Linked DNA regions of Caenorhabditis elegans. The protein of the gene in region 3 interacts with the protein of the main gene of each other region in a biochemical or structural test. Each region holds a gene or a part of one and is shown on either strand. Other genes may lie near its edges. The genes, in order: par-1, pkc-3 and lin-5.

Evidence for each region.
Region 1: of the proteins of lin-5 (region 3) and par-1, one has a biochemical effect on the other in vitro, tested with the Caenorhabditis elegans proteins (one study listed by BioGRID).
Region 2: of the proteins of lin-5 (region 3) and pkc-3, one has a biochemical effect on the other in vitro, tested with the Caenorhabditis elegans proteins (one study listed by BioGRID).

The regions. Positions count from the first base shown.
Region 1 is NC_003283.11:14,117,847-14,128,149, reverse strand, and holds the start of par-1 (Serine/threonine-protein kinase par-1), read left to right. Parts: upstream 1-1,611; coding exon 1,612-1,835; exon of another isoform or gene 1,836-1,894; intron 1,895-1,906; coding exon 1,907-2,039; intron 2,040-4,352; coding exon 4,353-5,156; intron 5,157-5,834; coding exon 5,835-5,942; intron 5,943-6,637; coding exon 6,638-6,781; coding exon of another isoform or gene 6,782-6,805; intron 6,806-7,131; coding exon 7,132-7,417; intron 7,418-7,506; coding exon 7,507-8,089; intron 8,090-9,163; coding exon of another isoform or gene 9,164-9,611; intron 9,612-10,303. UniProt on the Caenorhabditis elegans protein: Required for cytoplasmic partitioning and asymmetric cell division in early embryogenesis. Phosphorylates and restricts the asymmetry effector mex-5 (and possibly also mex-6) to the anterior cytoplasm of the zygote.
Region 2 is NC_003280.10:5,375,184-5,387,059, forward strand, and holds pkc-3 (Protein kinase C-like 3), read left to right. Parts: upstream 1-4,843; 5' UTR 4,844-4,844; coding exon 4,845-4,910; intron 4,911-5,317; coding exon 5,318-5,576; intron 5,577-5,853; coding exon 5,854-5,938; intron 5,939-5,987; coding exon 5,988-6,114; intron 6,115-6,276; coding exon 6,277-6,453; intron 6,454-7,124; coding exon 7,125-7,376; intron 7,377-7,460; coding exon 7,461-7,819; intron 7,820-7,865; coding exon 7,866-8,208; intron 8,209-8,323; coding exon 8,324-8,449; 3' UTR 8,450-8,986; downstream 8,987-11,876. Other genes in the region: algn-2 (Alpha-1,3/1,6-mannosyltransferase ALG2), read left to right, coding at 85-244, 662-1,195, 1,248-1,396, 1,444-1,803; Peroxiredoxin prdx-2, read left to right, coding at 3,240-3,257, 3,659-4,034, 4,099-4,310; ccpp-6 (Cytosolic carboxypeptidase 6), read right to left, coding at 9,021-9,193, 9,243-9,364, 9,745-9,869, 10,168-10,254, 10,533-10,644, 10,757-10,998, 11,052-11,265, 11,320-11,417 and 1 more.
Region 3 is NC_003280.10:7,855,625-7,864,188, reverse strand, and holds lin-5 (Spindle apparatus protein lin-5), read right to left. Parts: upstream 3,531-8,564; 5' UTR 3,530-3,530; coding exon 3,390-3,529; intron 3,344-3,389; coding exon 2,726-3,343; intron 2,678-2,725; coding exon 1,624-2,677; intron 1,576-1,623; coding exon 1,461-1,575; intron 1,410-1,460; coding exon 1,201-1,409; intron 1,093-1,200; coding exon 763-1,092; 3' UTR 626-762; downstream 1-625. Other genes in the region: sds-22 (Protein phosphatase 1 regulatory subunit SDS22 homolog), read right to left, coding at 4,511-4,702, 4,749-4,835, 4,882-5,110, 5,156-5,287, 5,330-5,487, 5,536-5,601, 5,653-5,769; T09A5.15 (Small integral membrane protein 26), read right to left, coding at 5,951-6,229; Chromo domain-containing protein cec-3, read left to right, coding at 6,720-6,729, 6,774-6,889, 6,934-7,199, 7,341-7,716, 7,767-7,839, 7,889-8,005, 8,049-8,110; mdmh-35 (MitochonDrial interMembrane space protein Homolog), read left to right, coding at 8,483-8,536. UniProt on the Caenorhabditis elegans protein: Essential component of the spindle apparatus required for spindle positioning and chromosome movement. Acts to recruit or anchor gpr-1/gpr-2 complex to the spindle and cortex.

The DNA.
Region 1 (10,303 bases), on a different chromosome or scaffold from region 3:
GAAGAAAAGTGAGACGCGAACTTCTTTTTTTCAACTCCATCTTCGTCGTCTCGGTGCACCTGGTGTGTTGTCCTATTCTATTCGGTTCTACCTCCTCCACCCCCAATCTATTCAATTTTTATTATTGACTTATCGGAAAGAGAGTCAGTAATAGGAGAGGTGGACACGCAGACGTTGTGAGAAAACGACAAGCGCCTCGACTGAGAGAATTGAAGAACTGACTCATTTTTGTACTGAACTGACTGACAGTGCAGACTGGTTGACACACCTGCTCAGAAGCTGCTGGATCACCTTACACATTCACGTGCGACACTATTTTATTCAATTATTGTTCGCGATTCAAGATTCAAGAACTGTTAAGATGACGAAGAAATCGTACGCATTTGCACTGGATCTCGATGATTTGTGCTGTGACGATCATCCATATTCATATTCACCACCTTCCACATCTTCACGGCATTCTGCATATTATCCATCTCAACAGCCTCGGACCTTTTTTCCGGAATATGAATTGACCAGGTTTCTATCTTGTTTCAAAATATTTTTTCCGGCTGCTTCTCTTCTTGAATATGACTCATCGCCCCCTCAATTTTTCGTTGGTCGTGCTGCAAGAAATTTTCCATGATTCATCATAGCAGCTTGTAGTATAGAAGAAGACCATCGTTGTTCTTGTTGAACATCAGATTTTACATTTTATGTCCGGCGCCTGAGTTCGCCTTACTTTTTTTGTGTTCTACGAGGTACGGGCAATATGATGAACGTAGCCACTAAATGGGGCAAAGTGGCCGAATATAATTAGTACGTTTCTAGATTCGGTTGACCTTTGATTTTATATCCAAAAAAGGCAGTTTAACGGTTTTCTTTTTGAAAAACAATTTTTTCTAACTGAGGGGCTGGAACTTCCTTTTCTATTGGAACAACGCGTCTCAAATGAAAAAAAAAAGTTTCCGAAGCGCTATTTTTCGAGTTTTTTTTTTTCATTAAATCGGCTGTAAAAGTCGTCATTTCTTCCCCTCTGTGCTGACGTCTTCACTCAAAATGAAGAATTGCAAGCACAACGAGATGACGTTGGATGGCCCCGCAAGCAGTCAGCATCGAATGAAAATTTAAACACAGAAATTCAACGAGCCCCGTCCATCAAAGCCACAAAAAAACGGGGGTCCGCGAAGGGAAATTAGAAAAAACGAAGAGGCATGGCGGGGGGGGGGGGGACACGATTTTATGTAGCACTTGGAGCAGCACTTTGTGGGGGCATTTATCGGTCGGCGGGGAGGGTTTTTTGGAGAAATTCCGATGTGATGGGAGCAATAGAAAGAGAAGGGGACACATATTCCCTCTTAGTTTTTTTCTCCTTTTGCTCACACTTTTTTCAAGAGGAATACAGACAGATAGAGAGAGACATGGATGCAATTTGTGTCTCTTCTCCAAAGTGTGGATGGATGGATGGATGGATGTGTATGGAGAAAGGCCGCCCATCTTCTTCTTCTTGCTCGCTTGCTCCTCTTCTACTGCCGGCGCTCTCCTCGTTTTTTCCAGTGTGTCCGTCCTCCACGCTTTGCTCCATTTCGGGGAGCCCCAGGGCTCTTACGCGTCCGTTTGACCTAATTCGATATGTTCAATGCGGCATACTCGTCGTTACTCGCTAGATTTATGTGCCAGCCAAGTAGTTCATCTGTGACGCCTATTCCGGAAGAGGAGGAATCTCTGATCCCGAAGCGAAAAGTGTCTGAAGTGGTCACTACAGCTCCGATGGCTCCCACACTAACTTCATCTGGGAAACGGCGAACGGTGAAAGTGTCACCTGATGGAGATCATGTCACACATAACCGAAAAAAGTTAATTTTAGTTCACATTTAAAATTAAAATAAAGCCCCAGTCCACCAGTTTTCAATAAAAATTTTTCCAGCTCTTCATCACATGCACGATCTACTGGACAATCGGGTATGTCAAGTCGATCGGCAGCACGACGCAACGATCAGGATGTACACGTTGGAAAGTATAAGCTATTGAAGACTATTGGAAAGGGAAATTTTGCAAAGGTGAGCACTTGATGATTGGAAATTTCGAAAAAAAATAGTTATCAAAAAATTAGAGCTTGAAACATACTGTAGCCGGTCTCGACACGACCGAGCGCCTTTAAGGATTACTGTAGTTACAAACTCCCGGTTTTTGGCAAATTTTCTGTTTTCCAAATTTTTTAAAAATTTTATTTATTAAAACCAGTCGATGACCGCGCCTCCGGCGCGGCCAACGACTGGCGGAGTTTAAAATGTATAATACATAGATGTCCTTTTAATCATTCAAAAATGTATCATTAAAAAAGTTGAAACTTCATCGATTAAATCGCATTTTCTTCTTCCATGGTATTCGATTCAGAAAATTCAAAGAGACAGTTAGAATGTTCTGATTTTTCTACACTCAAAATTATAAAACTGCGTTGCGTGTACGCCAAAATAGTCCCCGCCTTTTTCTCGTTCACTCACGGGGAAAAGGCAAAAAGCGGTACCCCAGGTAATATCAGCCGCCGACATCATTCGAGGTCCGCGCACCACACTATTTTTCTCACTGTTGGCGTGGCGAGCTGTCCCCCTCCCCCGAAAAAATTCCACAGAGTTACAGTTTTTCAATAAGTTAATAACTTTCCTTAACTGGAGAAGTCTGAATAATTAACTACTAATAGTAAGTTCTTTGAATATAGATGTGACGAAACAAATAAAAACTCCTACAGTTATAGGAGGTTGTAGAGCATTTCAGAACTTTTTTGAATTTTCCAGATGATTCTAGAACATTCTAGAATTTTCTTGAAACTTCCAGAAGGTGCTGAAACAAAAAATTGATTCCAGAACCAAAATTTGAATTTCCCGCCAAATGTTTTCCTCAGAAAATTTGAATTTCCCGTCAAAATCTTTTTCTCAGAAAATTTGAATTTCCCGCCAAAATTTTTCTTGGAAATTTGAATTCCCGCCAAAATTTCTTTTCTCATAAATTTTGAAGCTCCCGCCCATATTTTTAAAGGTCCCACCACGATGGGTCTCGCCAGTTCCAGGTGGTACTTAAGCTAACAAAAAGTTTCTCAGAAAATTTGAATTTCCCGCCAAAAATTTTTTCACTGAAAATTTGAATTTCCCGCTAAAATTTTTTTCACTGAAAATTTGAATTTCCCGCCAAAAATTTTTTCACTGAAAATTTGAATTTCCCGCCAAAAATTTTTTCACTGAAAATTTGAATTTCCCGCCAAAAATTTTTTCACTGAAAATTTGAATTTCCCGCCAAAAATTTTTTTCACTGAAAATTTGAATTTCCCGCCAAAATTTTTTTTACTGAAAATTTGAATTTCCTGCCAAAATTTTTTTCACTGATTGAATTTCCCGCCAAAATTTTTTTTACTGAAAATTTGAATTTCCTGCTAAAATTTTTTTCACTGAAAATTTGAATTTCCCGCCAAAATTTTTTCACTGAAAATTTGAATTTCCCGCCAAAATTTTTTTCACTGAAAATTTGAATTTCCCGCCAAAATTTTTTTCACTGATTGAATTTCCCGCCAAAATTTTTTTAACTGAAAATTTGAATTTCCTGCTAAAATTTTTTTCACTGAAAATTTGAATTTCCCGCCAAAATTTTTTTTACTGAAAATTTGAATTTCCCGCCAAAATTTTTTTCACTTAAAATTTGAATTTCCCGCCAAAATTTTTTTCACTTAAAATTTGAATTTCACGCCAACATTTTGGGTCTCACCACGAAGGGTCTCACCACGATGGGTCTCACCACGAAGGGTCTCACCACGAAGGGTCTCACCACGTAGGGTCTCAACACGATGGGTCTCACCACGAAGGGTGCCACGCCCACTATTCTCACTGAAATTTGGGCGTGACGTCACAGACTCCAAAGACTACATAGACTACAAACTCCGGACAGACGAACTGTATTTTTTTATATATAGTTAATGATATTTCCTTTTTGAGAAGTAATTTAACTTTTTTATATATTTTTTTTGAGAAACGAGAGAAAATTTCAGAAAAAAAAATCTCGGTTTCATTTTTTTACGCTTAAAATTTATTTTTCGAAAACCCAAAATCATATAAAAGTCATGAAAGAAATATAAACTTCGAAAAAATGATAGACATATTGTGAAAATTTGCAAAACATTGCACAAAAAACAGGGAATCACAACTACAGTACCCTTTAAAGGAGTACACTCTTTTGTTCAGAACATTTTAAGTCGTGTCCGGACCTTGGAGACCGTGCACCGTAACTTTTTATTAAAAATCTTTTTTTTTCCCAGTCGGAAATACGAAACAGCCTGACAAAAATAAATCTTAGATATATGACCATTTAATTAATTATTTTTGCAGGTAAAACTCGCAAAGCACGTGATAACCGGACATGAAGTCGCTATAAAAATTATCGACAAGACTGCTCTGAACCCATCGAGTCTTCAAAAATTGTTCCGAGAAGTGAAAATTATGAAACAATTGGATCATCCGAATATTGTGAAATTATATCAAGTGATGGAAACTGAACAGACACTGTATTTAGTACTCGAATATGCATCCGGTGGTGAAGTATTTGATTATTTGGTTGCACACGGAAGAATGAAAGAGAAAGAAGCAAGAGCCAAATTTCGACAAATTGTCTCTGCTGTTCAATATTTGCATTCGAAAAATATAATTCATCGAGATTTGAAAGCTGAAAATTTGCTTCTCGATCAAGATATGAATATTAAAATTGCTGATTTTGGATTTTCGAATACCTTCTCACTTGGAAACAAACTCGACACATTTTGTGGATCTCCACCGTACGCTGCTCCAGAATTATTTTCCGGTAAAAAGTACGATGGTCCTGAAGTAGATGTTTGGAGTCTTGGTGTAATTCTCTATACTCTTGTATCCGGAAGTCTACCATTTGATGGACAAAATTTGAAAGAGCTTCGAGAACGTGTGCTCCGTGGAAAATACCGTATCCCGTTCTATATGTCAACGGATTGTGAGAATTTGTTGAAGAAATTCCTTGTTATCAATCCACAAAGGAGATCATCATTGGATAATATTATGAAAGATCGATGGATGAATGTGGGATATGAAGATGATGAGCTTAAGCCATTTATTGAGCCACCAAAAGATCAAATTGATGAACAGAGAATTGAGAAATTGATTCAGGTGAGTTTTTATGACGAAAATCATTGTAAAACATTGGAAAAAATTAAAAATTGTATTTTAAGGCAAAAATCTGATTTTTCTCACGATATTCATTGTTTGGAAGAGGAAATTGAAAAAAAATAATAATTAAAAACGTTTAAAAACTGTTTTATGATTATTTTTTTCAAAAAGTTTTGCAATTTTTTAAAATTTTAAATTGAAGCTGGAATTTGGAAAAAAGTTCAATTTTTCACCTAATTAAATTCAATTTTCAAAGTAATTCTCTTAGGCGAATTGTAATGAAAAAATGAATATTGAAAAAAAATATAATTTGCAAGTGCGCTCCAACGTACCAGGGCTTCACAAAATCAGAGAAATTCAAACTGATAGCTTTTAGACGAAAAATGTTTTTTTTTCAATATTTAACTTTGAAAAATGAAAAATGGATTTGAATTTTTAAGATTTGGTACCGAAAAGGTGGTTTAAGCTTTTTTTTTTCCACTATCCATCTATAATACACAAAATGGCAATTTTGCTTTAAACAACTTAAAAATACGAAATTTCATTGTAGAAATCTTTTTTTTTTGAATCTAAAAGTCAAAGTAATTATCTTTTTTAAATTAATTTTTGAACAAAATTGCTTTCCTTTTAAAAATAAATTCCATGAAATTTCCCTCCAAATTTATAAAATGTTTACAGATCTTCCAACTCGGATTCAACAAAGCCGCCATTTTGGAAAGCGTCGAGAAGGAAAAGTTTGAAGATATTCATGCAACGTATTTGCTTTTAGGAGAACGAAAATCTGATGTAAGTTGTATTCCTTACAAAATAAAATCAATTTTTAATTCGAGATTCCATTGATCTTATTACACAATTTTTATGCCTTTGAGTATTAATAACCCAATCGCGAATTTCTAAACCGCATGGTATTCATTTTGAAAAAAAATGTTTAAATATCCCATTTACAATATCCCTGGTTGAAATTTATTTAATTCCGCTTTTTATCCTTCCCCCGTTCCACTAAATCTAACAAATTTTCATCGCTGCTCTTTTTCTCTATTTATGTATCGGCTTTTGATATAGTCTTTAGATAACTTTTAAAAAAATTGTCTGGAATTAGATATTACCCATACGCGAAATTGTGCGATTTTGCTCCAAAAATACGGCATCCGGTCTGTAAATTACGAAAATGTTCGCACCTTTAAAGAGTACTGTAACTTCCAATTTTCTTGTTTTTTAATTTTTTTTATAGGAAAAAAACTTTACTTTTCAAAAAATCGATTCAACAAATCCGCAGCAACATGAATTTGAAGATACAGTACTCATTAAAGGCTCGAACCTTTTCGTATTTAACACAAATTTTTCGTGTCGAGACCACGGAAAAATCTCAAAAGTTCGCGTCTGTGTGATATTTCTAGCTTGAAAAAACATTATTCGAAAAAAAAACGCAATTTCTCTCTCTCTCCTACTATTTTTTGAATCTGTGTGTTTTGTCTCTGCAGATGGATGCCAGTGAAATCACAATGGCCCAATCACTGCTCAGCCATTCGTCAATCAATGTTTCGTCGTCTCTGGGTCAGCACCCGGCCGGTGTTATCACTAGGGAGCATGTGACGTCATCATCAGCGTCTGGAAGCTCTGCTTCAGTGAGTGATCATCATCATCCCTATGTGAGATATCATTATGTTGTGTCTCTATGTGTGTGTGTATGGATCCACCTACTACAGTAACCTATATTCACGCACAAATTTTAGAAATGCATGAATGTCTATGTCTGTGTGTCGTATTTTCTGCAAACTGTAGTATGTCGAGGAACAAGAATGCTTGCAAGTTTATATATTTGAAAACATTTCAAAAGTTTTCTGATTTTCGTCTTCCTGGCTCAGGAATTATATTCTCTAAAATTTCCAAGCATTCCTGCTCTCCTATAGTACATTCAACCTCCTATAATTTATAGTCCAAAACTTTTGTTTCATCTCATTTTCCTAATTTTCAGCCATCCCGATACTCTCGATCCTCAGCAACAGCCACAGGTGCATCAATCACTGCAGGATCAGCGCTCGCATCGGCTGCGAATGCTCAGAAACATCAGCAATCATCGGCAGCTCCATCGTCAGGATCTTCGTCGTCGAGGAGAAGCTCGCAAAACGATGCGGCAGCGACGGCGGCTGGTGGTACTGTAGTGATGAGTGGAACAAGGCATGGTGGAGTTCAGATGAGAGCTCAGCCGACGAGTCGGCAAGCGACAATCAGTTTATTGCAACCGCCGAGTTATAAGCCTTGTGAGTTTTTTGTGGAGAATTGGGTGAAAATGATTTCTAAATTGGTCACAAAAAGAAAAAGGACACGAATTAAATTCCCATATTTTCAGCCTCCAACACCACGCAAATTGCTCAAATTCCGCCACTATTCAATAGAAACTCAACGGCAACCTCATCAGCTGCTCAACCTTCAACAGGAATCACCGGTACTCGAAAGATTGCTGATCCAAAAGGACGAATTCCGCTCAATTCGACTGCTGTACAAGGACATCGAACTGCAACAGGTGCAGTTGCAGCCAATAATGGTGGTATTCCAAGTCATCGGGATCATGCTCAGCAGCAGCAGTATATGAATCAACTCACCTCGTCGACAATGATGTCAAAGCTCATCAATAAGACTCCAGCGGCTGGTGGTACTGCAGCCACGTCATCTTCTTCCTCATCGTCTGCCACGTCGACAGCGCCACTTCAGAAATCTGGATCACAAATCTCGCACGCACCGACTGAACCAGTCATTCGAGAAGACGACGACGAGAATAACAGTGAGAATCAGAATGGAAATGTTCCATTGATCGGAGGTGTCGGACCACAAACCTCTCCAGCTGTTCAAGTACCAACAGAAGATGCAACTTCATCATCAGACAAGGAACAACAGCAGCAGAAAGCATCCAGTGAGACACCCAAAGAGTCCAAGTGAGTTTTTAAACTTGTTTTGGAGCACCTTGTCACCCCCTTTTTATCATGAAAAGAAATTTTTCACGCTATAAAAATACGCTTTTGCACCTTCTGTAAATAAATATGGCTTTAAAAAAGGGTCAGATAAATATAATTAATTTTTTTCCAAAAATTTCCAAAAGTAGCATGAAACTGTTCAAAAGTCTCAAGCACACAAAATTTTCACTTGCACCCGCCTCCCAATAGAAAAATATTACGGAAACGCAGAAAAATGCCCGTGAAAACGCGCTTCACTGTCAGGAGCTGGGTCTCGTTTGGTATTTGGCTTCAAAACCGTAATTTCAAATGTTTTCAATTTGAATTTACGGTTTTGCCGCCAAATACTTAACGAGACGCAACTGTTTGCAGGCGGAGCCTTTCCACGTGGACTTCAAAAAAGGATTTTTCTGGCGTTTCCATAATACACTTTTTGAAAACGATTACAAAAAATCACTCCCCATTCCTTCTAACATTTCCAAAATTCTAACCCAAAAAAGTTCACCCTGAACAAACAAACAAACATATCGGTAATCTATCCCTTACGAAGCATCAGCCTTCTCATTTCACTTATTCCTACAACAACGAATATTCTTGTCTCGCGCAAATTGTTGACCAAAATAATTTTAAAAAAAAACGACCAGATAACCTCAAAATTTTCCATTTTTCTCTTTATTCTACCTCTGTCATATCACCAATTTTCTTTCTTTTTAGACCTAATCCTTAGTTTTTTCTTCTTTTTTTCGTCATATTTCACTAACATTTTGCGCGTTTCACAGCATTTTCTATCCAATATTTCATTTATTTTCATATATAAATTATATATTTATCCTTCAATTTGGTTGTGTGTTATGGTTCGATGTTCTTCGTTTGGTATAGTTTTCTGATATAATTCCAACAGAAAAAAACACGCATGCTTCTTCTCTATTGTTCCCCCCGTTTTTAGTTTTTTCATGTTTCATGTCCCCTCCTGTTTGATTTTCTGTTTTTTATCCGCATGTGTGTGTGTTGTTGTTCGTTTGTGTGTTCTCTAGAGTGTGCTCCTTTCGTTTCCAGCCCGATCGTCTGGCAGAATTTGCATCTCAACAGTCTTCTGAAATCTTTGTTGGATTCTTCGGCAGCTACATCATATGAAACTCCACGGAGGCCAGGAATAGCTGGAAGACGTTCGGAACCATCAGCAGCAACGCCTCGGCGACGTCATCAGACAATGGTGGTTGATGCGCGACATCTTCAGACACCTCCAGACACTGATAGACCGTATCATTTTGAAGATACGACGCTTGATCGTCAGATGAGAGCACTCTACGTCTCAACTGCTTCGTCAAGAATGACACGTGGTGTACTTCCAACTCCACCCACCTCGAATTCCACGTCATCGAGCTTTATTGTGGAACCGTTGACACATGTTGCTGCTGCATCACCAGATATTACTACAACAACACCGACGAAGTCAACTGTGACGACGTCGCCATATTTTAGGCGAACACCGTCATTTCGAATGGTGCTGAGTTTTTTTCTTTCTTTTCATTGCTCGAATCCTCTTCTTTATCTCTTTCTCTCTTTCTTATTCACTATTTATTCCTTTTAGTCGTATTGTTGTTGTGTGATAATGGTTTGAGGTTATGGTTGGTCGTTTTTTAAAATGGTAGCAATTTGCCGAGCATCAACGAGACTAATAAGGTTTTTTTCTTGAAAAAACTGCGAAATTTTTGAGAAATGAAGAATGAAAATCTAAAAGGTATCACCGAAGTATTTCCAATATTTTAGGATAGTTTTCGGCAGAATCAGAAAAAATGGAATATGAAAAAAGAAAATTAAATGTTTTTTTTTTTGAAACCAAATTTTGAAAAAAGTAAATAAAGAGTGTAAGAAAAACGCTGGAAATTTTTAGAAATAAATTGGCAACAGTTTTTATCTTTATTTATCAAAAATTTACCAAAAAAATAACATTTCAATGTTTTTTAAATCTGAAAATTCATTCATCAGATTATGTTGATTTTAATGAAAATAAAAGTTATTTAAAATATTAAACATTTTCCGAAAAGTCGAATGAGAAAAAATTGCAGAAAAATTAAATTATTAATCAGAAATATGCCGATACAATTTTCGATGCAATTTTTTGGAGACACATAAAATTGCCCATTATAATTTTTTTTTTCAATTCTTAATCCTTTTCGTAGTTATAAGAATATT
Region 2 (11,876 bases), 2.5 Mb from region 3:
AGTTTATATAACATTATGTTTATATTACCATGCTCATATTTTAAAAAAATTGAATACAAGAATTAAAATATTGAATTTGGTAGTATGGTCCGGGTAACCATTCTCCATCCAGATCTAGGCATCGGTGGAGCCGAACGATTGATTGTTGATGCTGCTGTTGGATTACAGGATCGAGGACACTCTGTTCGGATTTTCACGAATCAATATAGTAGATCGCATTGTTTCCAAGAAACTCTAGATTTGGGTGAGTCGTATTGCCTTAATGCAAAATTTCGCGTTTTTTTGTGCCAAAAATACGGTAACTGGTCTTGACACGACAAAGTTGTGTTAAAAGTTATTTGTTTAAATATTTAAAACTCAAAAATTTCAATAAAAACATTCATTTTTCAAAATTCGCAAAAAAAAAATTGAAAAAATTTCCAAATTCGTGTTTTGTTGATATATTTAGATATCACATAAATAAATATATTTTTATCGAAAAACTATAAAAATTGATGAAAATTCCGCGACAACAAAAGTTTGAAATTACAGTACTCATTAAAATTGCATGCAATTTTTCATTCAAAAAAAAGAAGTCACATACCGTATTTTTGTCGCAAAAATCTAAAAAATTTCGCGTCTCCGTAATAATACCAATCGTCAAGCTGATTTCATTTTTCAGATATTTGTACTGTGGTTCCATGGATACCCCGTTCAATTTTTGGAAAAGGTCATGCTCTTTGTGCATATCTTAAAATGATCATTGCTGCTCTCTACATTGTAATCTACCACAAAGATACTGACGTCATACTTTCGGATTCTGTATCTGCTAGTCAATTTGTTCTTCGTCATTTCTCAAAGGCAAAACTCGTATTCTATTGTCATTTCCCGGATCGACTTTTAACGAAACGTGATGGAAATCTGAAAGCTTTCTATAGAAATATTATTGATTGGATTGAAGAGTACACAACTGGACTTGCAGATGTCATTTGTGTCAATAGTAATTTTACAAAAAATGTGGTTCGTGAAACATTCAAGTCACTGGCATCTCAGGAGCTGACCGTACTCTATCCTTCGTTGAACACCGAGTTTTTCGATTCGATTGAAGCTTCGGATGATTTTGGTGAAGAAATTCCACGTGGTACCAAATATGTTTTCACCTCACTGAACCGATTTGAACGAAAGAAGAATATCGTTTTGGCTCTAGACGCATTCGGTAACTTTAGATTTTATATTTTTAAAAACCTGTGTAATAAATTATTTTGCAGAGAAATTGAAATCGAATCTTCCTGCCGACGAATTTTCGCAATGTCATCTTGTTATTGCTGGCGGATATGATTTGAAAAACCCAGAAAACATCGAACACTATGATGAACTTGTTGAACATATGAAGAAACTGGAGCTCCCAGCTGATCAGGTAATAAATACGAATTTAGCAAAGTATAAATTACTTTTAAATTTCAGATCGTATTTCTCCACTCACCATCTGACACTCAAAAAGTAAATCTCATTCGGAGAAGTCGTGCGGTACTTTACACGCCTGATAGAGAACATTTCGGAATTGTTCCAGTTGAAGCAATGTACTTGGGAACCCCAGTAATTGCTGTTAACACTGGAGGTCCCTGTGAATCGGTTCGGAATAATGAGACGGGATTTTTGGTTGATCAAACGGCCGAAGCGTTTGCTGAGAAAATGATTGATTTGATGAAAGATGAGGAAATGTATCGAAGAATGAGTGAGGAAGGTCCGAAATGGGTGCAAAAAGTGTTTGCATTTGAAGCATTTGCAAGAAAGCTCGACGAGATTATTCAATCTACGCTTTAATTAATGTTTTTTCTTGAAATTTGGGTTTTAAGCGTTTCGTTTTAGAATCGCCAGTGTATTTTTTGTGATAGTCCTATGTGCTTTAAATTATTTATTTTGAAAGGTTCAATAAATTATATTTTATGACCGAACACATTATATTCTCAGTTGTTATCTTATATATCCACACCGGAATGTTGAATATCTGACCATATATATTTAGAATGTTGCGGTAATTTTTTTGTTGCTGTGGAATTTTATTTTATTTTTATTTTTCATAGTTTCAACATTTTACAATTTATTGAAATTTATGGGTTTTAATTGTTATATTTGGCGTTTTTCGTTTACTTTTTCGATAAAAATAAATTCAGTTAAAAACTAAGTTATAACAATGAAAACACATAAATTTGAACAAATCGTAGAAAAATCACTACAAATTTGACAGATTTTATGGGTTCTATCGCGATTTATTGAAATTAACGTCTTTTAATTGTTTTATTTTAGTTTTTTAGATAAATACTGTTTTCAAACGAAAAACTTTGAAAAATCGATAAATCTCGCAGTACTCCTGAAAGGCACACACTCGTTTGTACTTAAGAAAAATTGTCGCGACGAGACCAACTGTCCAACTACGGTAGTTTTCAAAATACGCGGTTCACCGCAAAGTCAAATTGCGGACCTGAACATTTTTTTATTTTTCCCGCAAACTTTTTTTTTCAATTTTGCCTAAAGCGCTCGAATAAACATGAAAGTCTCGTGTTTCCTTCCATCCAGACCTCTCATTTTTCAATTTTAAAACTAAAAGCACTTTTTGACCTACTTTTTGTCGCAACCGCCAAAACTCGCTTCCAGAATTATTCCCTTTTTAGGATTTTCGACGCAACATCTCCAACCGGTTAGTTTTTTCGCAGATTTTCTCGCATTCGCGTAGTTTCACTTGTTTACTTCGTGGCGCCTCGTTTTTTTCCGCTCTCTCGTCTGACCACCTTCATATTTATTGATCTGCGCCTAGCGGCGCCCGTTGAAATACTCCACATTTTTTTGCAATCTTGTCTGCGAGTTCAGGTTATTTTCGACTTTTATGAAAGCTTGCTAGGAAGCCATAGCAACCGGGGAAGAATACGCTAGCCAAATGAGAGATAGAATCGATCAGCTAAATTTAAGATAAATAGTGAATTCGAATTCTAAGACCTGCTCGACCAGCTGAAATTCTAAAACTCTGCGCCAAGATGTATAGACAGGTAATAATATTTGAATTTTCTTTAAAAGTGACCTTGAACCCTAAGATTTTCGCTCCTCCTAAACGTTGTAGTCTGTTACTCCCTGCCGCGACAATTGTCAGCAAAAATCGCGTCACATGATGATGAAAGTTTGTGGCAATGTTATAAAAAGACTGACCTTATTTCGTTTCTTGGAAGATGCAAAGAAATGTTTATTAAAAATTGCAGTGTGAAATCATGTCTCTCGCTCCAAAGGTGCATTTCTTATTTGTTTTTTAAAAATATATTTGGTTACTTAGATATTAATTTAAATCACGGAAAAGTTTAAACCCCTCGATTTCTGTTATTTAACATGATCACTCACTTTTATAACAATTAATTTGGTTTTTCAAAGATGTTCCCAGAATGTTTTATTAGTTCTCATTTCGTCCTCCGATTTTTTTTCTTTCGTCGCTCTCCAATTTTGCCAATGTATTTCATTCCCATTAGATAAGCACCGCCCGTCACCTTATTCTCCTTCTTTTCACATTGCAAACAAATTCGTTGCCGTTGGGTTTCAATATCCTTTTCATTTTTTGTCGTATTGTTGTTCTTGTGATTGTGGTTGTTATTTTATCGCGGTATTATTTTTTTTTGTTAAACTAATTAATTTTTAGATGTCGAAAGCATTCATCGGAAAGCCAGCTCCACAATTCAAGACTCAAGCCGTCGTTGATGGCGAGTTCGTTGATGTTTCGCTCTCTGACTACAAGGGAAAATACGTTGTGCTCTTCTTCTACCCACTTGACTTCACTTTCGTGTGCCCAACCGAGATTATCGCCTTCTCTGACCGTGCTGAGGAGTTCAAGGCTATCAACACCGTTGTGCTCGCCGCTTCCACCGACTCTGTCTTCTCTCACTTGGCATGGATCAACCAGCCACGCAAGCACGGAGGACTCGGAGAGATGAACATTCCAGTTCTCGCTGACACCAACCACCAAATCTCCCGTGATTACGGAGTTCTCAAGGAGGACGAAGGAATTGCTTTCCGTGGTGAGTTATATTCTGAATGGAATCCTTCATATTTTCGTACTTTATTTGAAAAATAAAATTTCAGGACTCTTCATCATCGACCCATCACAAAACCTCCGTCAAATCACCATCAATGATCTTCCAGTCGGACGCTCTGTTGATGAGACTCTTCGTCTTGTTCAGGCCTTCCAGTTCGTCGAGAAGCACGGAGAGGTTTGCCCAGCTGGATGGACTCCAGGATCCGACACCATCAAGCCAGGAGTCAAAGAAAGCCAAGAGTACTTCAAGAAGCACTAAATGTCTTACATCTCTAATTTCCCCCGTATCCCTAGTATTTATCTGAACGGTTTATTTATACTCATTTTTCATTTTGATACTGAAATTCTGAAATTCATGAAATTGCTTGATAACCGTAAAATAAACTCGGTATTCGAATATAACTGTTTCTGTTCAGGAACAAACAATATGTGTCGAGACTCTCTCTCTGTTACTTTTTTGTCACTTTCCTAGACCGCCCGTGTTAGTCGGTGCGCGCGCATCGTCGTCCTGTACAGTGTTTGTGAGGGTCACCTGTGATTATTCATTTCTCTATGCCTCTTCAAAGCTGGGCCGCTCTCACTGACCTGTACACTTGGACAAAATGGGGGTGTTCGATAGAGCGTCAATGCATATATAGCTATAACAGTGTGTGTGTGTGTATGTGCATGTTTATTCATGAGTCATTTTTCCCTTTTTTACTCTAATACTGCCAACTCGTCACTGTTTCAGTTTCGCAGTTTTCGTTCAGAACTCCTTTTTTTGAACCGTTTTTAGTTCAATTTTTATTTCAGAATGTCGTCTCCGACATCATTAGAGGAGGACGGAGATATTAAGCTAAAAACGAGGTTTCAAGGACAGGTGAGATATGAAAAGTGGCTTTTGAAATGCTCAAAAATCGAGAAATACCCTAAAAATGAATTTTTCGTTGCAGTGAGAATGTGTAAATCATTTCGCCGTCAATGCGAAATTTTAGTTTGTCAAAGCTTTAAAAATTCGTAACAGAGAGAAAATTCCAGACAAAAAATAGAAAAAGACCGTGATAACCGAATAAAACTGTAAAAAATTAATTTTTCTGAACTTTTAATGATTTGATTAATAGTGTTTAAAACTTAAAAAGCTCTTTTCCGGCTAAAATTAAAAAAAAACAACCACTGATTTTTTAAAAATTCTGCAAAATTGAAAAATAATTTTTGTTACTGTATAACTTTTTTTTTTTAATCTGAAAAATTCCAGACTCCCAAATTTTAATAAAAATTAAATTCCAGGTAGTAGTACTCTATGCTCGACCACCGCTCATTCTCGATGACTTTTTTGCACTTTTGAAAGATGCTTGTAAACAACACAAAAAACAAGATATTACTGTAAAATGGATTGATGAAGATGGAGATCCAATCTCAATAGACTCACAAATGGAACTTGATGAAGCAGTTCGATGTTTGAATTCTAGTCAAGAAGCCGAGTTGAACATTCACGTTTTTGTTGGAAAACCAGAGCTGCCCGGGCTTCCGTGTCAAGGAGAAGACAGTAAGTATCATGAAGCTATCAGAAAAATTATTTAGAATTTCGAAAAAATGTGCGCCTTCAAAGAATACTGTAAAGCGGAATTTCTATCAATTTTTATAAAAAGATTGAAATGAAACAATTAGAAACACATAAATTTTGGAATTTTGGAAAATAGATCAAACTTCCGCAGTTTGAAACTACAGTAATCTTTAAAGGCACACAATTTCTCGCGTTTAACAAGAAATTTGTCGGAGGAAAAATCGGAAATTTTCGAGTCTGAGAAATGTTTTTTTTCCAGAAACTGTATATCGAAGAGGTGCTCGACGATGGAAGAAAATTTATCTGTACAATGGGCATCGATTCCAAGCGAAACGGCTGAATCGGTAGGTTTTTTTTTCTGATTTACAGCCTCCGGAGCTTCTTTCTTTTCAGCCGTATTCAATGCTTTATTTGTCATGACTACATATGGGGAATTGGACGGCAAGGCTTTCGATGTGTGGATTGTCGTTTATGCGTGCACAAAAAATGCCATCGGCATGTGCGAACGCATTGTGGTCAGGTAATTCTTTTTTTTTGTAGCGAGGATAGCTTCTAAATTATTCCAAAATTTTGAAACTAAGACCTCCCAGACTTCTGTTTTTCAATTTTTACAAATTTCTGTGCAAAACAGGTTTAAAGCTTAAATTTTTAAATTCCTCATAAAAATCTAAATCATTTTCAGGCTCTCCAAGGCCCGAATATTATCCCAATGGCTCCTGCAAGTGGTTCTCTAAAGGGTGCTCGATCGAATACAAGCTCATCTACAACGCGGTCGGGTGGAGGAATTGATAACGGAGCATTCCACGAGCACGAAATCGAATCACCCGGATCCACGAGTCATGATGCTAGCAGAGCTATGGTAAGCTTTTGAAGTTGGAGCCAAAATTTGAAATAAAATATATTTGAAATTTGATATAAATATCTTTGTCTTCACGTCTCCGAGGGATCGTAATAAATTTAATTTAATATTCAGAAAAGTTAATTTTTTTTGAAATTTATTAGTTTATTTCCAAAAAAACATAACTTTTATTTAAATAAAACCATCTGAAAAGTCTCAGATTTACAATAGCTGAAAATGAAATAACTCTTGTTAAAAAAAACAATTTAAATTGGAAAGTCTTTGAAATAGTGGTAGTTAATTGAAATATTTAATTAAGTTTAATCCAAAGTTCAATTAAATATTAGGTTCTTCCTGTTGCAATTTCAATTTCAAATTTCTAGATACGTGATATATGTAACTCTTGAAAAACATTCTAGATTTCTAGACTCAACTACATTTTTTTGTTTTTTTTTGGATGAACAAGTTTTTGTAGTTTCACTCTTTCTCTTGCTCTCAAAATTTTTATTCATTTCCAACCACAATTCCCTTCCTCGCTGCGAATTCTGATTTCTTCCTGATATCAAAATATTTTAATATTTCAACGTATGGCACTTTTCTGTCAGTGCTTCCCAGTATCAGATAAAAAGAAACGGCGAAAAGTATTTTTAAAGTTACATAGATTCAAATACTAAAATTTTTTAATATTTCAGAATGGAAATGGGTCGTCAAAATGGGCAGTTTCTCTGAACGATTTCCGTCTTTTAACAGTTATTGGACGTGGATCTTATGCAAAAGTTGTGCAAGCAGAACATGTTTCAACTCGTCAAATTTACGCGATAAAAATTATCAAAAAGGAGATGTTCAATGAAGATGAAGATATCGATTGGGTACAGACGGAGAAGTCAGTATTCGAAGCAGCGTCAAATTATCCATTCCTTGTTGGATTACATTCTTGCTTCCAGGTTGGTAACTTTCTTTTTCTTCGATTTTTTCAAATCTCAAATTTTCGCATTAAAAATTTTAAACCAAAATTTTGATAATTTCAGACCGAATCCCGCCTGTTCTTTGTCATCGAATTCGTTCCTGGAGGTGATCTGATGTTCCACATGCAACAGCAACGGAAGCTTCCAGAAGAGCACGCTCGATTCTATTCGGGTGAAATAATTCTTGCTCTTCATTTCCTTCATTCTCGCGGAATCATTTATCGTGATCTCAAATTGGACAATGTTCTGATTGACGCTGAAGGACACATAAAACTGACAGATTATGGAATGTGTAAAGAGAATATTAAGGATGGAGATTTAACTTCAACTTTCTGTGGAACACCCAATTATATTGCACCAGAAATATTGAGAGGTGATGAATATGGATTCAGTGTTGATTGGTGGGCATTGGGAGTGTTAATGTAAGCCTTTTTTGGTTGAACATTTATTTTATTTAAATCGTTTTAGGTTTGAAATGATGGCTGGTCGATCTCCATTCGATATTGTTGGAATGCAGAATTCCGAGGAAAATACAGAAGATTATCTTTTCCAAATCATTCTTGAACGACAGATTCGAATCCCTAGATCACTTTCTGTACGGGCTTCTGGTATTCTAAAGGGATTCCTGAACAAGGATCCAACAGAACGTCTGGGATGTAAGCTTGACATTAATGAAGGTCTTCGTGATATGAAAGAACATCAATTCTTCCGTGGATTCATTGATTGGGAAGCTTTGGAACAGAAGGCTGTCGCACCTCCATATCATCCAGCTGTGGAAAGTGATCGCGATTTGACACACTTTGATCATCAGGTAATTTTAATTTCTTCAGAACTTAACTTTAAAAAAAAATTAGTTTTTGTTTACTAATAAATTATTGAATCAAAATATTTTAAAACTAATTCAAAATGCTTGTTTTTTTTTTCAGTTCACCGACGAACTTCCACAATTATCACCTGACAATCCAGATGTTATTGCACGAATTGATCAATCAGAATTTGATGGATTTGAATACGTGAATCCTCTACAAATGAGTCGGGAAGATTCAGTCTGATTCCCCCACCATCCCCCGAGTCCCAAATATTTATTTTCTTCGGTATACTTTTTTGTGATTTTTATTATTATTCTCGAATCCCATCTCCTTCGCCCACTGTCTTATACGATACTATGACACACTAACTCGTGGCATAATCAGTATCCTAACTTATTTTCTTTTTCTCAACATCTGTTATACATTTTCTCGCAACAATCACTTCTACTCGTCTTGTGGTATCTTACAATCCCGAAAAGGTTGTGATTTTTTTTGGTTTCTGTTAAAATCTAGACTATTCATACTTGCTAGGAATACCTAATGCTTGATGACCTCCCCTTCTAAATACACCTTCTTGTTACTTTTCTTGTCAGCTCATTCATTTCCCTGAAATATATGTAAAATTGCGGCGAAGACTACGATCAATGTAGTCTCTTCGCCATCTGACACTTCTTTTGTGCCACGTGTGGAACTCGATTTAACTTCAATTCAATTTACATGTTCTTCCATTTGACCACTTCCCTTACTTATTTATTGACAAACAAAAAAAAATTGCATTTCAATGGTCTTTATCAGTTCTAATGTGGGCGCCAATTCATTTCATCATCACAGTCTGAATCACCTTCCTCGCTTGCTTTTTCAAAGTTTTCTGGGCGCGGGCGGGTAGAAAAGTCTTAAAGGGACGTTCGAGCACAATCTCTCGTAGTCCACAGTCGGCTTCATAGAAGTTGAGAAGTGCTCTGCAAAATGCCTCGCCGAGAGCTTCATCTGAAAATTGAACCAAGTTACAGTAGGAAATCACTGAAAAAAAACCTACATTTATATTGAAGATATGGCGTACAATGTTGTATTCCATTTCCAGAAGAGTCTGTATGGCGATAAGAGAAGAATGATACTTCAAGTGTATAGCAAAGGCAGGAAAGTAGATCTCCCATCGTTCTGAAAAGTTATGAAGGGTCCTGACACGACTGGCATTTTTCTGCTACAGTAACCCAGCGTGTTTTTCTCAACTCCGTGTTTCCCAATGTATTCATTTTGAAAATATGCATATATTTTCTAGAAACATCATTATAAAACCACACAAAATATTGAGAAAATGTTGCAAAATAGAGATTGAAAGTAAAAGGTACTGTTGCTGGAAATGTTCACTCACGCCAGGACCCACAGTCGTGTTTTTGCACGCAGATACTACGGATGACCATGTGAGAAATTACTAGCTATTGCAAAATTCATATCGTGGCAAGACCCATCAAATTAAAATCACGACTATTCGAAATCCATAATAAATTATTCGTTCCCTTCCATATAAAAAATCTCACCTTCTGCCAGTACCAGCCTTCTCCACATCCGTGTTGAATTGAGTGAACTCGAGCGAATAATCTTCGGAAAGATCTGCCAGCAAATGCGGAAGCCATAACTGCCGGAAAGTCGATTTTTCTTCGACCGAAAATTAGAAAAAAATGTTTCAGAAAATTTAAATTTTGTGGTCATTGCAAAGTTGAGCGAAACTATGAAAAGATTAGGGTTTAAAATTGTGAAATGCTGTAGATAACTGCTAAGTTTCGGTAGTATCAAGACCGGGTACTTTGTTTAAAATCGCTAAGTTCTTCAATCGGCTAATATCGGGTCTCGCCACGGACAAAATATTTTCAATAGTTGCTGTACCCCTTCAAGAAATACAGTAACTCATAACTGATTCTTGAAGTTGCCCGAACCAATTCACAAAAAAATTCACAACTTACAGCTGACATATTCACATTTCCATACAAAAAACAATTTGGCTTCTGAGAATGGGCATGTAGATCAACGTAGATTACAGTTTGGGCTTGCTGAAATATTCAAGAACAGATCCTAAAACTTCTACAAATTATTGATTCATTTATTCCTAAAATTGACACATAACAGTGAGCATGGCAACTTTCCCACAATGTTTCAATTTAACCATAGTCTACAGTAATCTAGGATTTTGATCGCTTCGAGATACAGTCAACTTGAATGTATCATGGGAATTGCAAAAAAAAATTGATGAAAATGCTCAAAAGTCCTACAAAACACTGAATATGTATATCGATAAATTCCCAATATCGATAAATTTAACAGCTCTCACCGGATTATTATCATATTGCGTCAGTAAATTCTTCACAGCATAAATTGAAGGATGAGCCCAATCTGAAGGGGTTCTCCACATTCTATTCAAGTCATGACCCATTAGAGAACATCTGAAATGACCTTCTGATAAGGTAGGCACTGTAGGTAGGTACGCCTTTATGCCTGGGCCGAGAGGTTGTTGGTGACGAGGAATGCCTACCTAGGCTGTTTGCAAAAAGTTACCTATAATTTCCGAGAAAAACGCCATCTGGATTAAGCATTGGAATAATTTTGAAACAATAAACTTTTCTCAACTTCTGTGCTCGATCATCTTTGGAAACAAGAAATTCAATAATTCCATGCATAACATGACTACTCGGTGACTCTCCAGGATGAACTCGCGCAGTTAGAAAAATCATTTTCTTGGATCCTTGGAATGTGTCAGGTGTTGCATCAATTGTTATCAAGTCGACACGACGTTTTTGCTGAATTATTTTCCAAAAAGTTTCAGACTATTCCATGAATATTTCCAATTTACCACAGTTTGAACCAAAAGATCTCTATGAAAAAATGGGTATTTTCTGGATTCCAACTCATTCAACCATATCTGCATTTGTCCATAAGTATACGGTATACAGTATGCAAATTGAACAGGATCTGGTGATTCAAATATGAAAGCAAATGAAAGAATCCAACGATCATTGTGTTGGGAACTACGGTAGTAGTAGATATGGCGAGATGGGATTCGAGCCCTAAAATGTTGAAATGGCTCTTTAAAATAGAAAATCGAGGGGTTTTCATCATACCAACTATTTTGAGCATTTGATTTGACTACAGGTGCTGCAATTCCCATTTCGAATAGTGTTCTTTGTTTTGAAAAGTTCACAATATTGAAGATCGCCCGCTGAAGAATTTGCAAATTTGATAATAAAATTTTAAAGTTTAAACTGCATAATTACACTAATTTTCAAATAGTACCCAGTCAAAAAGGTGTGCGCCTTCAATCAATACAGTAACCGCCGGTAACTTTCAAAACGAGGAATGGGTTACTGTATTCTTAAAGGCACACACCTTTTAGCGCGGAAAATAGAGTACTGTAGCTAGGAAAAAAGTTGTCTCAAAATGTTCTCCCCGAAAATAAAGAACATATTTAGGTATACTGGAAAATTCGTAAATATTTCAGAACCATGGCCATTGCAGAAAAAAACTGAAAACCTACAGTAACCCGTAGGGTATTGAATTTTTTTAAAAATCGCTGCGAGACCCGACGTTTCCGCCTCAGATCCAGTTTTCGAATATCAATAATAAATACAAATTCTTCAAACATTTACCTGATTTTCAGATGCATTTTTGCATTCAAAAT
Region 3 (8,564 bases):
AGGATGTGGGGTTTATCATAACAAGCTACGCGAGGTTTATCTTACAAGCATTTATTAGTATAAAGGGACAGACGTATGGCAATGTCGCAACAAGTAAACGGGAGAAAGGAGCAATAAGACACGTAACTTATAAAAGGTTAAGAAATGATCCAGAATGAGCGATCCTCAGCTTATATATCTAGGCGTTCGGCGGTTAAAGGAGCAGCCTTTATCGACGATGGGTCTCGGCGCGGAGAATGCGACCACGGCGGCTGGGCGGCAATTCAAACGGGGACGCGTCGGCACCAGGGGTGTGCGGCGAATCGAATTTTTCGGCGATCGGCGAATTCGGCGCTCGCCGATTTTTGAAATTTTCGGCGAACGGCGAATTTCGCTCTGCGAGTTCGCCGATTCTCGTACGGTGAATTCGGCGATTTTTCGGCGAACGGCGAATTCGGCGAACGCCGATTTTCAAAATTTTCAGCTAACGGCGAACTCGGCGAATCGAAAAAATCATCGGCGAACGGCGAATTCGGCTAATATTCGCCGCACACCCCTGGTCGGCACGATGATTTGTGAAGGAAAAGGGCCTGATTCTTACAATAGAACTGCGATGAAACAATCATTTTCACAAGAACACATAAAAAATAAGAAACTTCTTCATTTCTCAGCGATCGTTAGGAAAGGAATTGTAAAATAGATAAAATAGGATACAACACGGAGCAAAACATAAAACAAAAGTGTGTTGTGAAAAAGTTATATTACAATGTATGAAAGTATATTTTACTGCTTTTTGCTCGAAAAAGCAGAAAAAATCGAATCCCGACGGTTCTTTTTCTTGGACTTCTTGATATTCTCCTCGTCTGCGGATGGCGAATTCGTACTTCCAACTTCAGAGGCGTACGAGCATTTTAGGTGTGGCTTCACTTTCTCGTTTCTGGCAGTGAGCACTCCAACTCTTTCCTTGGTTACTCCGGATGGTGTGAATGGTTGCTTGAACTCTCCAGCTGATGATGGCGATGCCAATTGGATAGATTCCGATCGCATCGACGAACGTTGAAGACTAGACCGGTCGAAGAAATCCAAAGAGCAAATTGACTCACGTCCATCGTACTGAAAATTGAACGTTCTGGACAATATTTGTGGTAAGAAATTGTCTCGTCTATATAAGAAATTGTCTCGTCTCACAAAATTGAGGTTGCATAATAATAAACTGATTACCATATTCGACTTGAATCCAATCGGTGTTCCTTTATCGAATTCGTTGTCGTCCACACTAGGAGCAATCGATTTTCTTGGGAACGTGGCAAGCTGTGCTCGCAATTCTTCTTCGGTAATTGTTGGTCCATTATCGGCGAGGAAGTCTGGCAAGCTGTCTGGCGAACCGCATCTGATTCTCGAACCTCTCATTGGAGCTTGTTGGAAGATTTCTGAAAAACAAGATTGAAAATTCAATTTCGAAACGTTAAATATGAACTCACTGATTCTCTCACCCATCCAGGTGGATTTCTTAATCTCGGCGCTTTCCTTCTCTCGAAGATCTGCAACTTCGTGCTCGAGACGTTGAATCAGATCCACTCTAGATTGAAGGAACAGCTAAAAAGTAAGTAATGTTGTATTCAATTTGATATTCAACAAGCAAACCTCTTTCTCCTCCAATTCGGCTTTATGCTTCATTACCACACTTGCGAAGTTTTCTTTAAGGGTGACTGTTTCGTTCTCTTTTTCCGCTAGAGAATTCTTGAGAATTGCCAACTTCTCGGCAAATTGAGCTGAGGCCTGATCGCGTATTGCCTTTTCATTCTTTATCAGATTGGCAGCTCGTTTGTTCTGCTCCTCTTGAAATTTGATGATATCGTCCTTACTCTTGCACGCAACTTCCAACTGCTCAATTTGTCTTTTCGCATTTTGAAGACAAGAACCCATTGACTGAAATTCTTCGTTGCTTTTATGTACAGCTTTGTCGACATTCAGGGACTTTTCATTCAGTTCATTCCAGAGATTCATCAAGCGCTTTTTCTCGTTCCTCTCTTCGTCAAGGTCAGCCTGAAGGCGTGCATTCGTGGATTTCATCATTTTCTCTCTTTCCGAGTGTTCCAAACGAAGAGCATCGATTCTGGAGTTGGCCATGCTCAACGCTTCAAGCTTTTCTTGTCGGAGTTTGTCCACAGTCTCTTCAAAACGCGCCAGTTCCTCGGAAAGCATAGTTTTAGAGTTGTCAGCATCTTGTTTGTTTCTCAATGAAGCAACACTCAACTCCTCAACACTGGCAGAAAGGCTCTCGTTTTCAGATTTCAGAGACGCTCTTATTTTTTCCACTCCGGTAAGTTGTTCCTGGAGGTCAGCCATTTGGTCCTGCGTCGCCCGAAGAGTCTCAGTAAGCTCCTGTTCCTGCTGACGGAATCTAGCGAATTCATAGTCGTTGAGATCTCGAAGCTCTCTGGCCTGCTTCATGAGCTTCCCATTGTCTTCGGTCACCGTTTTCAGCTTAGCAGTAAGATTCTCTTTCTTTATGTCAGCTTCCTCCAGACTTCTTTGCTCGGATCTCAACGTCATTCGAGATTCATTGAGTTGTTGGAGAATGTTGTGGACTTCATCCTTTTTGGCTTCGAGATCACAGCTCAATTCTTCAGCACGAAATTGTGCCTCCTCGGCGATACCTTTCAGTTTAGCGATGTCGCTTTTCAGATCGGAATTCCTAAAATATTTTCTCCATATTTTAAATTCAATGTACCATTTTACTTACGAAAGCTTCAAAGTTCTGTTCTCAGCCGATAACTTGGTCTTGTCATCTTCAAGGTCTCCTAACATTTGCTCCAAACCAAAGATTCTCGCTTTAGACTGCTTCAGCTCCCGCTCGCTTCGCATGAACTTCATGGTAGGGGAATCGACAGCCTCCGCTATAGGGCTTCGCCGAGCAGTTGAGGAAGCTGTGCGTAGTCGCCGGGCAGTAGCTGTTGGTGTTTGCAATGATGTCAAGCTGTAGTTGTTCCTTTTCGGAGTCCTGAAGCCACTGGATGCTTCCTGATCTTCGTCATCTCTCCGAAGACATGCCCACCAGTCGTCAGCGGTACTTTCCGAATACACGTTGTCGAAAAACAAAAACATATCAAGAAGCACAGCTGTGTCGACGCGATTCTCTGATGACGCTTGCTCCAATGCGCGAGTGAGCATTCCCGAGTGATCCTTTCTCATATACTCGAGAAACAGAGCGTAGAATTTGCAAATCTCCAGTGAATCTCCGCTCGCTGCAAGCTTCGGTTCCAATGAATCGGTCATGAAGCTGAGACTCGTTGTGGCGATTTTGCGGAAGATAACTTCATAGAATTTGTCAGCTGTGCCAAACTCCCGAGTGTCGCATGACCTGAAAAATAAAATATGAAATTGTTTATGAATGAGCTATTACTTACATCATACTGGCGATCATACTCCCGTGCCTCTCCCAAAGCTCGGCTAATGAGCTGATTGTCTCCGTCTTCGGTGTGAAATTGGAGCCAAAATAGTTCGTCAATTGTAGCATTGACTTCACAACTGATGTGCTCACGCTCATTCTGCAGAAGGAGTAATTATTCAAAGAAAATGCGAGTGGTTGAGCGAAAGAACGAGAGAGAACGCATACATAAACGAAGAATATTTAAAAGACGCACGCAGAATGTCTGCGTCTCTTACACCATGCTCGTACACTTTTCTCACGACACTTCTAAAAACAGCGGGAATTCAAATGACAATTTTTCCATGGACCTGCAGGTCAACATGCACAAGTCTACCAAAAAAATATTAAAAGGACGAATAATAAATAAAAATGAAGCTGTTAAAAAGTGGGATGACACACTGATTGAAATGAACATTAGAGGAATCTAACATGAAAAATAAAACCAAAAATGCGCGCGCGCGCGAAAATGGTTTCATTCTTTATTTATAAAACCATGTGAAAGATTATGTGCATGCGCCTTTTAAAAAAACCGTATACACATTGCTGAGTTTGAAATTATTTAATGAAAACAAAGAAAGAACATTCCTTTTTTAGGGGACAAAGTTAAGTGCGCCTTCCAATAAAATCTTTATTTTCACAACAAAAAATCTTACAGTAGCTTTCATTTCATATATGTTTAATACTTTTCGAGGAAACTTCTTGATTGTTCTCAAAAGAAAAGCTCTGTAATTGACACACTTTAAGTTTTCAGGCATGGAAAGTTGGTTTTGGTTCATATTTATTTAGCGAGAAGAATAAATAATTTCTTCTTAAAATCTCACCGCACCGTCTAAAAACTACTGCATTATTCTCAAAGTATGAAACCTTTTTCAAACTCTTGATTAGTCGTTTTTTTTTTAAATTTTCATTAGCTGATAATATCTGGCCATTTCGATTGGCTTCGCCCATATGGAGGTCGATTATGATTCATTTGCGATTCCTCTTAATAACCTTACACTTTGTTCTCAATATCAAACAATGAAGCAAACTGATACATATTTATGAAAGATTATCATGGATAAGAAAAGCAAACGGATATTTATTGGAAGCGTCCGAGAGTTATTCAATTGGCTTTCTGCACGTAGTAGCATCAATTTGAGTTACTTGGGTGAGGGTCATCATAACTTTTCTGCGATATTGGTTTGTATCATTGAAATAGAACGGGTTTCTCTCCAAGTATACAGTTTGAAGACCCTTTAACTTTGAAAGTTGCTCAATTTCGGAGAAGCTTTCCACTTTGTTGTCGTTTGCCTGCAATAATAAAAGATATAGAAGAAACGTAAAATGTCTCGGTTACCCAGAAATCATTAAGACTTTCTAGTCTTTCAACGCCACTGAACGTTTTGATTTCGTTATTTGCAACATCCAAAAGAAGTAAATTAGTCTGCAAAAAAGACCCATTTCTCAGTGTATTTTGAATTGCTTTTTACCAGAGGTTCGACGCCATGAATATCTTGTAGACCCTGATCACTGAGGTAAAGTTCCTTCAGATTATTCAGTTGCTCAACATTTTCAATTTTCACAATACGATTTCCCGGCAAGCTGAGAACACTGAGCTTCTGCAAGGTCTCCACTCCCTCCAACTGACGAATTTTATTTTTGCCGATAAATAATTCATCCAAATTTACAAGGTGACCAATGTTCTCGATTTTCTTGATTCTGAACACAATTTGTGATTTTGATGTTGAAACATTCCATATTTACCGATTATCTCCCAGTTCGAGCAGTTTGAGCTGCGTCAAAGCTTCTAAATTTTCGATTTTTTCAATTTTATTGCTGACAAGGTAAAGAGTCTCGAGCTTTGTCAATTTATCCAAGCCGTTGATTTGGCGTATTCTGAAAGTTATTATTGAAATAAAAGTTTCTTAAATTCTTCACCTGTTATAGCTCAGATCAAGAGAAACCAAATTTACGAGTGATTCGAGATGCGAAATTTCGGTCAACTGATTTTCGTACAAATCCAGGGATGTCAAAGTAACTAACGAAGAAATTGTGGGGCTAATTGAAACCAGAAGATTATTGCGCATTCTCAGTTCCTGAATATAATCATTGTATTTACACACGTATTTCTGAAGTATTCTTACCTCTATTTTCGGAAATCCAGTAAGATCTGGAATGTGATCAGCGCGAGTGTGAGTTAGATCGATTTCCTGAAACATGTTTACTTTCACCAATAAACCCAAGCGGAAAAAAAAACAAACCGGAGAATCGATATCGAATGTGCTCAAATCGAATTGATTTTTCAAAACAGGCTCTTTGGATTCTTCGTCATTTTCACGAGGAAGAACAACAACTTCAGCGGATTTGTCGTTGGACATTACTAGTAGTAATATTACTCTGAATTTGTAAGTTTCGCACAAGATTATCAGTCAGTTATAGATATTGTCAGGCGTATTTAACGCAATATTTAAGAAAGAGATCACAAGCATATCAAGACCTATATAATGTTTTTTGAAAAACTATGAAAAATACACGTAGAAAGAAACAAATGAAAAAAAGTTATTTTCGTTCGAATGGATCGATCCAGACATTTTGAGGACCAGCTTGTTGTTCTCGAGATGATCGAAGTAAGGCCCGTTCCTCTTTTTGTGCGTTTTTATAATAATCATGATGATATTTTGGATAAAGCGTTACAGCAGCTACAGCACAACATGTAACAAGTGCAGTAGCTACAACTGCCATGGATCCGAGTGTTGGCCGATTAACTTTGGCCCATTTGGGAAGACGATTCTTGACTGACAACCAAAACGGAACAGGGGCTCCTTCAGGAACGCGCATGTGTAGCTAAAATTGATTACAATATGACTTTCAGTATGTTTAATAGAATAAATTGATGGATTAATTAAAAAATGTAGTCTATAGAAACAAAAATATGTTTTCTTATTTTGGCTTCATCATTGAAGAGATTGCTCATTCTAGGACTTTTTTACCGTAGAAACAAATCTGTGAGATTCGTTAGCTGACCAGTGATCATGCTTATGAAATAAAACAAGTTAAAAAGTATTTTATAGACAATAATTGAATATTTCGAAAAAAAAACTGCAAAACTTTCACATTTTCATTATTTATCAAGAACAAATTATTTCCATTCAAGTTCCGCAATCCGGGGAAACTGAGTCTCTTTTCTCAACTCCGCTAAAGAGGGCGCGCAGCAGAACTTCGGAGCGTCGTTGCTGCTGTCGCTGAGTTTTCTTTTGAAAATTCCGTCTTATTTTCTAATCTTCAATCGATTTTAACTGTCGACTAATAATCTCTAAAAGTTGTGAAGATGAGTAATGGTATGTTTTTATTTATTTATTAAAACCTAGAATAGATTTTACAGAAGGTTCACGTGAAGAGTCTCGAGAGCCCGAAGCAAGAGAGGGAAAGTCTGACGAGATTTTTGAAGTTGAGAAGATTCTTGCTCATAAAGTTACAGATAATCTGCTAGTGCTTCAAGTAAGTCACGAAATTATTTCTTAACTTAATTGTCCACATTTTAGGTTCGTTGGTTGGGTTATGGCGCCGACGAGGATACCTGGGAACCCGAAGAAGATCTGCAAGAGTGTGCCAGCGAAGTTGTTGCAGAGTACTACAAAAAATTGAAAGTCACTGACAAAACAGAGCTTATTGAACTTCTTCAAAAGCAAATAAAAAAGAACAAATCGCAAAAATCAAAAAAGCGATCGAAGACGGTTAGTGACCATGAGTCTAACCATGACAGCGACGGTAGCTACGGTACTCCGAAGACATCGAAGAAAAGTAAAAAGTGAGCTAAATTCTTTATTAAACGACAATAGTTTGAATAGTGGTGTTGTTTTTTTTTTCAAAAATGTAAATACATCCACACGTAATTGTCGGGAATGATGCTAATGGAGAGAATTCCATTTTTTTAAATCGATTTTTGCAGATCTGCTAAAAACGAAACTCCTGTATCATCAAAAGTTCCAAAAGTCCCAACGAAAGCTGCACTCAAGTCATACGAAGCAACGGTTTCTGGTCCAGTAGCTCCAAACAATGCGAAGAAAGCTGCAATGGAAGTTCGTGATACCCGAAGAAATTGGCTTGATGAAGAATCTTCCGATGACGAGGCAGAAACTACGGCGCCACTCAGTGATGTTGAGAAAATAGCGAGCAAAGTAAAAGTAGTGAAGGCAGTTGAGGAAAAAGCAGAAGAACCTGTCAAGCGACCATCTACACCACCAAAGCCAAGAGAGGTCGTTATAAAGAAAGACCCAAGCGAAAGTCCAGTTGCCAGCGCATCTTCAGTTATCCCAACGTCTAAGGTGGGTTCGAGTGCATAAAAATAATATGTATATATATGATGTATTTTCAGAGAAAGTCTATAAATGCGGAAACATCAAATGGCCGTCAAAGAACTCTTGCTCCCCCAGTCATTGTGAAAGATGGTAAATTATTTTTTAAAATCCTCGTAAATTGTTCTTTATTACATTTCAGAAACAACCTGGACTGTTGATGGTATTGCTCGTCACACTGATGTCGACAACACTAAAACGAAGCTGATACTGATGACCAACTCCGCCACTGGTGAACGAAAAGTCGTCGAAGGAAGAGGTAAAATAGGTTATTCTCAAAGTTTCGAATCTTTCATTTTCAGAGGCATTCGAACTTGATGGTTGGGCTCTCGCCAAGTATCTCCTCGATCGTTGTGAATTTTGAATTTCGAGTTTTGTTAATTTCGTTAAGCTTTCGATTTTTTATTTTTTGTCTCATTTCATACTACAGTTCAAAGCATATCTATCTCTCTCCCTGTTTCTATCATTCATTCTCCTTCCATACGATTTAAACGACTCCTTTATTTATTTCGTTACTATCAACTCTGTTTCATCGAATTCATCTTTTTTCTTCTAACATTCCATAACTTTTCTGTTGAAGAATCTCTTTTCAAAATGTTGATTCATCTAATGAATATATCTTTTTGAAAGTTCAATTTTCTTTTTAATGTTTTATCGGTTTATCTCCGAGTCGTTTGATATCTGAAAATGTCTTTAATTCTACCTTATAATATACCATTTTAGCTATGCAAAAAATATGAGTGATCGACACATGTCTAGTATTTTTCCCGAATGCGATCATCTCAAGCAGGTTAGTTTTCTAATTTCTTCTCGATTTC